Danio rerio: one gene and its partner. The protein of the gene in region 1 purifies or fractionates together with the protein of each later gene. This does not show direct contact. Links are inferred from orthologs where the notes say so. Each region holds a gene or a part of one and is shown in the gene's direction. Other genes may lie near its edges.

Region 1 (3,824 bases):
AAGACACCAGAGGGCGCCAAATTGCAACTAGTGTGAAATGGACATCTAATGCATTTCATTTTTAATCTTGCAGGAAATATAGATGCCATATAACGATGCACTATGTATTTATTAATTGCATAATCTCCCCCACCTCAAGGAAAGTCAGACATCAGTGGAACAATGAAGGGTTGCTGTAGAGAGATGAGGTCTATGTTTTGTATGTTTGCACAGACAGGAAGGCTGAAAGTTCGACAGTTTCTGAAGACTGTTGGATGGAGAGCCTTGCAGCTGCTGAACATACAGCGTGATTTTGTGATGGCATTAGGGCTAGAGACAGGTACAGTGCAGGTATGGAGACTAACGGCATGTCTGAACGGCATTCACCCTGACAGCGCTTTTTATTTACAACGTCACAATTTAATTTAACCCACAGAAGTGTTAAATTAAAAACCTAAATGCAACTTCCCACAAAAAAAGTGGCACATTGGAACATCATGAAATCTTTGAGCACCAAATCGGCTTATTTCTGAAGTGAGTGTTGTCGTTAATGCTGACACAGTTATTTGTGTGTTCTGCACAGATTTATCCGTGACTTGTAAATCTGCATTTTGACAGCATTTGATCCCGCAGTGCCGCTCGCGCTAAACCAGAACAGCAGCCCGCAAGCGCAAATACCTCTTATTTACTCTCCAAAAACACAGCGCACGCTCCCGTGGCCCCAGGCAGCTTTTGAAGTTTGAGTTTTGAAGCTTCAGATGCAGCACCTTTCTGAATGGCAGACACACGAGCGTGCTCCCATAAAACACTTTTAATCATATTTGGAGGAATGTGGAACGAACTGCTCAAGTTTGAGATTATCGCTATAGATGGATGGCTATTATTAGCGCTTCCTGTATTTAAACGTTCAATGCAGTTCAGGATTTTGAGGTCTTTTAGATGCAAACTGTGTATTAAATTTGTTAAATGGTCATTTTATTTTTGTCTTGTTACCATTGCATTGGAACAGTGTTTAATATTGAATTTTTCTTTGTGTGAAGGTGATTGAGGTTCCTTCTTCAAAGGCATCAGTGAAGCTTTCAGGCCACACTAAGACTGTTCACCACTGCCAGTTCACTGACGACTGTGAAATCCTTATAACATCCTCAGAAGATTCCACTATCCGGGTAATTTCTTTCTCTTTTTTCTTTTTAGAACAGAGAGAGGAGAAAGTGATTTAAATGGCATTTTGCATTGTTTTCATTAGGATGTTGTTTTTTTGTTGGATGCTTTATTGTACAAGTTAGTTTTTGCATTATCGTCTGGCTGTGATGCGTTAAATGACACGTCCGCTGATTTGCAGGTGCAGTTTAGTAATTGCACCACATGCTCAAAGTTGTGCTGCAGCTGTTCTGAGAGTTGGAGAAGTTTTAGACACTGAATCATCACAAGCCTCGTTGATTCATTGTATTTTTGATGACAAGCAGTGGATGCGGGAGGGAGAGAAACACTTTAGTAATTGATGATTGTGAACAGCTGCATGCACATTGAAATTCTGCAAAAACAGAGGGTGATGAATGTTAATACGGTTTAAGAATTTTTGTAGTAGAATGCTCATCACAGACTGAAAGTCAGTATTTGAATACACAATGCATGGGCTTACAGGGGATGGGCCTATTATAACGTAGTAGTAGTATAAAATGTGACTTTTAAATGTAGAAAAAATGCTTCAAGGTTTGTTGACTGCTGCTGACTGGTTAATTAGTTTTGAAACAAAACAGTAATAGGCAAGCTGCAGATTCAGTTCAAAAGACACTGTAAACAAGGCCTTTTAAATTGACATCCTCCAGAAGTGCTGCGTAGGTCAGCAACCAAATTGCAAAATGAATTCAGAGATCTGAAAATGGAGTTCATTTTAAATGTGGAGTCCACATTTTAAAGCACTCGTTTAAAATGAAAATGAAACCAACATCAGCAAGTGCACTCATTTACGTAGGTTTCACGGTGCACCAAACAGAGGAAAACTTCTGAACCCACTTGGAAAAATACAGTAGTACTATATAGTAGTAAATATATATTTGTAAGTATTTGAATCTCAAAGCCTCAGTATTCACGGAAGATGTGTGTATGTCTGCAGGTGTGGAAGTGGAGGACCGGCGAGTGTATGGTGCTGCAGGGTCATATGGAGCCGGTCAGGAAGTTTCACCTCTTGAGCTCTTCATCTTCTCCTCGTCTGTTCTCATGGTCGTTTGATGGCACAGTTAAGGTAAACCATCTTTGCCTCATTCTCTGATTTCCAAAAAAAAATCTTTGCAGCATGTGGAGCTTGAAAGATGACGTCAAGACCTCATTTAGCTCCATTTCAATGGACTGCATTGCTTTTAGAGCAAAATCATGGTTATCGAGGCCAAACTTTGGACAGAAAGCAGAGCTAACAATGATAATTAGGTGATGCATGCAGTTAATTACTTGTAAAGAGGTTTTTAAAATCTCCCAAACAGACGTTTTGGTTTGTTCATGGCGATTGTAGTCAGGGATTTTGGGGGAAATTGGTGTGGGTCAAATCTTCATGTAAATATCAATAAATAGGGCTCAAACTTGACAAGTTTTTAACAGTTTATGGAAAGAGGATCTAAAGTTGGTTGATTTTAAAGATCTAGGTAAATTACAGTGAGTTTTCACTTTTAGTTGATATGAGGTTTAAATGTGCATGTGTGTTAATAGCAAAATAGAGTAGACTACCTTATGAGCATGCTGATGTAATGTTTATTGGTAAAATCCTTGTAAATGTGGCCAAGTCTTAAATATTAATTTTAGCTTATTGAATGTCATGTACATGTAACAAAAGTTAAGATGTTCCTTTTAAAGTTCTTGCATAATGGTGGAGAAAATCAAGAAGCATTTAGTCCAAATGAATTGAGTTTTCCTTGTATTAGGCAAACACTGCCGGTGGGAAAAGAAAAACAATCCTATTTCCAACCAAAAAAAAAACTTGCTTCATGATTTGTTTTTAGATCCTTTTCTTAGTTTGTCTCGTTTCTAGTAAAAGTGAGTAAAATTGTTATATTGTGAGGTTGTTTAACTGAAAATATCAAACTATGACGTGGCAACTATCTGTAATGTTAAGTTAGTAATTGAATTTTTAGATTGAACCATTTACATTTTTATATGGTTTAGATTGAATTGTGGGACGTTACACCATATTTTTATAAAGTGCCTTCTGCTTTTTGTTTGTAGGTCTGGGATTTGACCAGAGGGCAGATGCTGCAAGACCTCGTGTGTCATGAGGGTGCCGTCCTGTCATGTGATGTGTCCTCTGATGGACGCCTCTTTGCCACCACCTCAGCTAATAGGACTGCTAAGGTCAGAGAGAGCACAAAGCAAACAAGATATCCTTCACATTATTCTCTTCAGCTTCAGCTGCCTGTGTGTTTAGATCCTGGACTCTTACTGTGCGAACACCTGCTCCTGTTACACTGCTAGTTTTTGAACGCTCTGCTGGGTGAATATCTGGAGTGTCATTACTGAACCCAGGATGCTTGCGTGAATGACGGCATGTACAGCCAAACTCTGCTTAATTACCTCTGTGTGAGCAGTACAGAGCCTCCGTAATGCGCGCACATCTTCTGTTGGAGGTGTCCGAGGTCAGAGTCCAGTCCGCTCACACGAGTGTGTAATGAGATGAAGTTCACTCGCTCCATGTGACGCCGCCTTTACCAGAAGAGCTTTCTATAATGAGACGCCATGTTCTCGTCTGTCTGCCAGAACTTCTCAATCACAGAGTTATGGCAAAGCTGATCAGAGAATAATTCTTGCCAAATGGATCTGCCTCAGTTAATGACCAAAAAAAAACAGGCAAAAATGGA
Region 2 (3,937 bases), on another chromosome or scaffold:
TAATTTATCATGCCATATAATAAGTTTTTATAAAATGTATATTTTAGTTTGTGACCACTTGAGGGTGAGTAAATGATGACAAAGTTTTCATTTTTAGCATTTCTGTCACTTTAACCATATTCAAAACAGCATAAATAAGTATGAACTTGCATATAAAGATGTACAATAAGGTGGAAAACTAATTGAATGTATCATGAATTAAAACTAAAAAACATTCATTAAATTCAAACAGTAAAAGTAAAAAATTGTATAGTCGTAAACACAAACACACACACACACACACACACACACACACACACACACACACACACCTTGACAGAATTTAGAGGTGGCTCAGTGCAGTCTTAACTTGTTGGTCAGAGTTGCCTTATAGAAGTTTGTAACATGCAACAATGGCAAATCCCTTTTGAATGTGTTCTGTAGCCTCAAGGCTCTAACCGGTTAGGTTTCATTTTCATCTAAAGGTCCAGTTATGGAAGATTTATTAATCACTTTGAGGTCAAAATGAGGAATTAATGACAACAGACTGCAATGGCAACAAGAAGGTCAAATGATTTTTTGGGCACGTGTCAGAAGGAGATTCAGTATAGACCTTCAATAAATTTAAATCTGCGCCATTTGTAATGTTGGTGTCTAGTTTTAAAACATATTAGTGTTGGAATTTAAGAAAACCTGTTCATATGTGTGTTTCCAAATGAAAAGGGAGCACTTCATCAAGCAGTTCTCCTTGAGAGACCGCTAACAGGTAGGCTAATCTTCATGAAAAGCTGTACAGTTATGTACATCTGTCCAGACCATTTGTCATTCCTGTCAGTCACATGAGAGTAAAGCATTTATAACCTTTCGTTTATGAGTCAACCTGCTACCTTCAGGTGTTATTGACTGGGAAACACCAGATGAACAACAAACCTGAAAAACGAGTCTTCACAGCAGCACTTCTCGTGCACATTTTCCCGCGAACCAGAATCGTGTGAATGGATAGCCTACGTGATAAAAAATCCCTGACACGCTGCCAAAAGCTCATGTGACGCGACGTCAGTGTCACATTAGAGCATACGCGTGTACAGAAGAGGTACACCAGTTCTTGCGTGCCGCTACATGACACTTTCAATGTTAAATAAATGTAATTTATAAAATATGCTTTTGTGATGTTATAATAGTCACTGATATGTTTCAGTTTCTCGTTAATTATTTGCACCTTATTCAATTAATTAAAATAAAGGTAAATGTTTCCTGAGAGAAAAAAAGTAGCCTAGGAAATAATCTCGAAAGCATGCGTCAAGGTTAAACGTCTTTTTGTGTGCCCTTTATTCTAAAATGAACTATATGCTACAATTATATAGCTACTGCATGTACAAAAACCGTCTAGACTCTGAACTCCTTTTATCTAAGAGCGATTATCTCTTTCAAAGCGCTGCCTGTCACAACACCATAGATGGATCTCCAGAACAGCTGCTGCGCCGTGAGCAGATTCGTCAAGAAGAGGCACGTGACCGCTTTAGTCAGCGCATGATTGTGACGTCAAACACCGGAGCCTGCTCGCGCCTCTAAAATGAAGTGACCTTTCTCTTTCGCCCTGATATAGAATCGGTCCGCCGACCGGCAAGAGAGGAGTACTTATCAAGAACGACAATTACCTACACAGTCTAAAAGGTAACATTTTTTGAATCTGTCACGTAGTGTTGAGATCTGCTCGGCGTTTTGTGTCATGTATGTGAAATTTATACATAATGGAGGATTTTTATAGCGGTTCCTTGGAAGGGTGGCGTAAGGTTGCGTAAGCTTACCGGTAACATTACTCCTCAAGAACAACTGAACGCCAGGGAAGAATTATATGATTTGGTATGAAGTAGTGTTACTTTTAATTATATTAAAATATGAGAACTGTGCGTTTTTGATAAAAACCCACACATTCTGTTTAGTAACTCAACAGAATGAGTGGGTTTAATAGGAGGTTAGCCTGATGTGGCTAACTGCTAGCGTCCGCAACGTGGATCTGAAGCCGGTTTACGACTTCAGCTGAATTCTTTGAAATAAACATTGCTTATCTCAGGCAATTCTGACGAGTTAAAAGGAGATTTGTCACACAAACTCTAATCCGGCTGCTTGTTCATTTTAAGCTAGTTCTCACAGGGCGATCTCTAATGAGCCACACATCAGTGATTAAGGCTTTCTTTAATGAAGGCGATTTAAGGTTATCCTCGGATGAGCACTTTGATGCCGAGATGTTTACAGGTACTAATCGCCAAGGATTAGTTGTCAGAGAAACGTGCTTCTCCATCTATAAAATGCTAAGATTATTTACTTCATAACGAGAGAAGGTCTAACCTCATAAGCTGTTTTGGGGCTTGTTTTGTGTCCTGAGCTGATAAAGGATGCTCCATCCTTGAATGACCTTCTAATGATGTCCTTTCAAGTGTCAGTGTGTTCACCTCTCATTTCACTTCCAGGTAAATATGGGTGACGTTGAAAAGGGCAAGAAGGTGTTCGTCCAGAAGTGCGCCCAGTGCCACACCGTTGAAAATGGAGGCAAGCATAAAGTGGGGCCAAATCTCTGGGGTCTTTTCGGTCGCAAGACTGGTCAGGCTGAGGGATTTTCCTATACAGATGCTAACAAGAGCAAAGGTAAGGCTGATTTGGCGAATACGCATTTTCTTACGATGAGATGGACTCGCTTAACAAATCTTATTATTTTGCACAGGCATTGTCTGGGGTGAAGATACCTTGATGGAATATTTGGAGAACCCAAAGAAATACATTCCAGGCACAAAGATGATCTTTGCCGGGATCAAGAAGAAGGGCGAGAGAGCAGATCTTATTGCATACTTAAAGTCGGCCACATCATAATTCAGCTGGAGATCGAGGAAACGGCAATATTTAAATTAAATGTTTGTAGTTTGGATTTGAATGTCTTTAACTAACTATTATTCATATGGTGTAACTGAACACGTGGCCAGGGTTATTCATTATAACATGTGGCATGCTTCTAAAGCCGGTCCATTTTAACAGTGAAGATTTTCTTCTTTTTTGTTCGTCCATGTATGGTTAAAGGAAGAGTAAAGTTACTGCAGGTCCCTAGTGTTTCCGCTGAGGGAATGAAAACTGTCCCCTGGTTTCACAGGAGCTGTCGTACGTTAAATTATTAAGATGTGCTGAACCTAGTAAGTATTTGGATTGGAATGAGCGACTGGGAAATCAGTTTGCTTATTGGTAACATTGTATCAAATGGATTTGAACTGTCAAATAAAACGGTCAAAATAGTCAAATGTATGTCTATTCTGTTAGTTTCTCATATTCTGATGCTTGCTTGTGCAGCTAACAATAAAGTGCACTTTTTATTTTAAAGTATTACTCTTTGACCTTCAGTTTTAATGTAGTAAACCGGCAGATGACTCCATGTACTGGGACCTTTAAACTCTCAGGGTATAAAAATTGTCAGGTATGCTCTCGTGCTCCTCTGTGTAATTTCAGGGCAAGTCTTGACAATTTCCACATAGAGGCAGCATGTTTATCAAGATTTTCATGATTGTCTTAGAAAGCTAGTCTGCCTGATAAGGAAGTATTGGTCCCTCAATGATGAGTACAATTATTTTATCAGGAAATTGAACATCTATTGCAGTGCCATAAACAATAACATTAAAGAATTACATTACTGCAAAATTCAATAACACTAAAGTGCACTCCAATTCAGTTATGCGTTTGAATAATTAACATGTTTTTGTTTCTTACTGTCCTCTTTTTTTCAGCTATATTACATCCAACTTATGGATTATGAATCTATAATAATTGTAAAAGTTTAGAAGAAAGCATGCATTAATGTGTAATAACTTAATTTAATGGCATATGCAACTTGAGTACTGTTGAGAAGATGTCCTATCTGTAAAATCAGGAGGATCAAATGCAAATCAGATTGCGTAGAAACTGCATAGTCCAGCAG

What was found.
Region 2: the proteins of apaf1 (region 1) and cycsb purify together in Homo sapiens (affinity purification with western blotting; 3 studies listed by BioGRID and IntAct, with this or other methods). This does not show direct contact. The link is inferred for Danio rerio from reciprocal best matches to the Homo sapiens genes APAF1 and CYCS.

Annotation. Positions count from the first base shown.
Region 1 is NC_133179.1:18,446,463-18,450,286, forward strand, and holds part of apaf1 (apoptotic protease-activating factor 1), read left to right. Parts: intron 1-213; coding exon 214-330; intron 331-1,019; coding exon 1,020-1,145; intron 1,146-2,095; coding exon 2,096-2,224; intron 2,225-3,195; coding exon 3,196-3,321; intron 3,322-3,824. UniProt on the Homo sapiens protein: Oligomeric Apaf-1 mediates the cytochrome c-dependent autocatalytic activation of pro-caspase-9 (Apaf-3), leading to the activation of caspase-3 and apoptosis. This activation requires ATP. Isoform 6 is less effective in inducing apoptosis.
Region 2 is NC_133181.1:11,868,564-11,872,500, reverse strand, and holds cycsb (cytochrome c), read left to right. Parts: upstream 1-1,578; 5' UTR 1,579-1,653; intron 1,654-2,450; 5' UTR 2,451-2,456; coding exon 2,457-2,625; intron 2,626-2,701; coding exon 2,702-2,847; 3' UTR 2,848-3,258; downstream 3,259-3,937. UniProt on the Homo sapiens protein: Electron carrier protein. The oxidized form of the cytochrome c heme group can accept an electron from the heme group of the cytochrome c1 subunit of cytochrome reductase.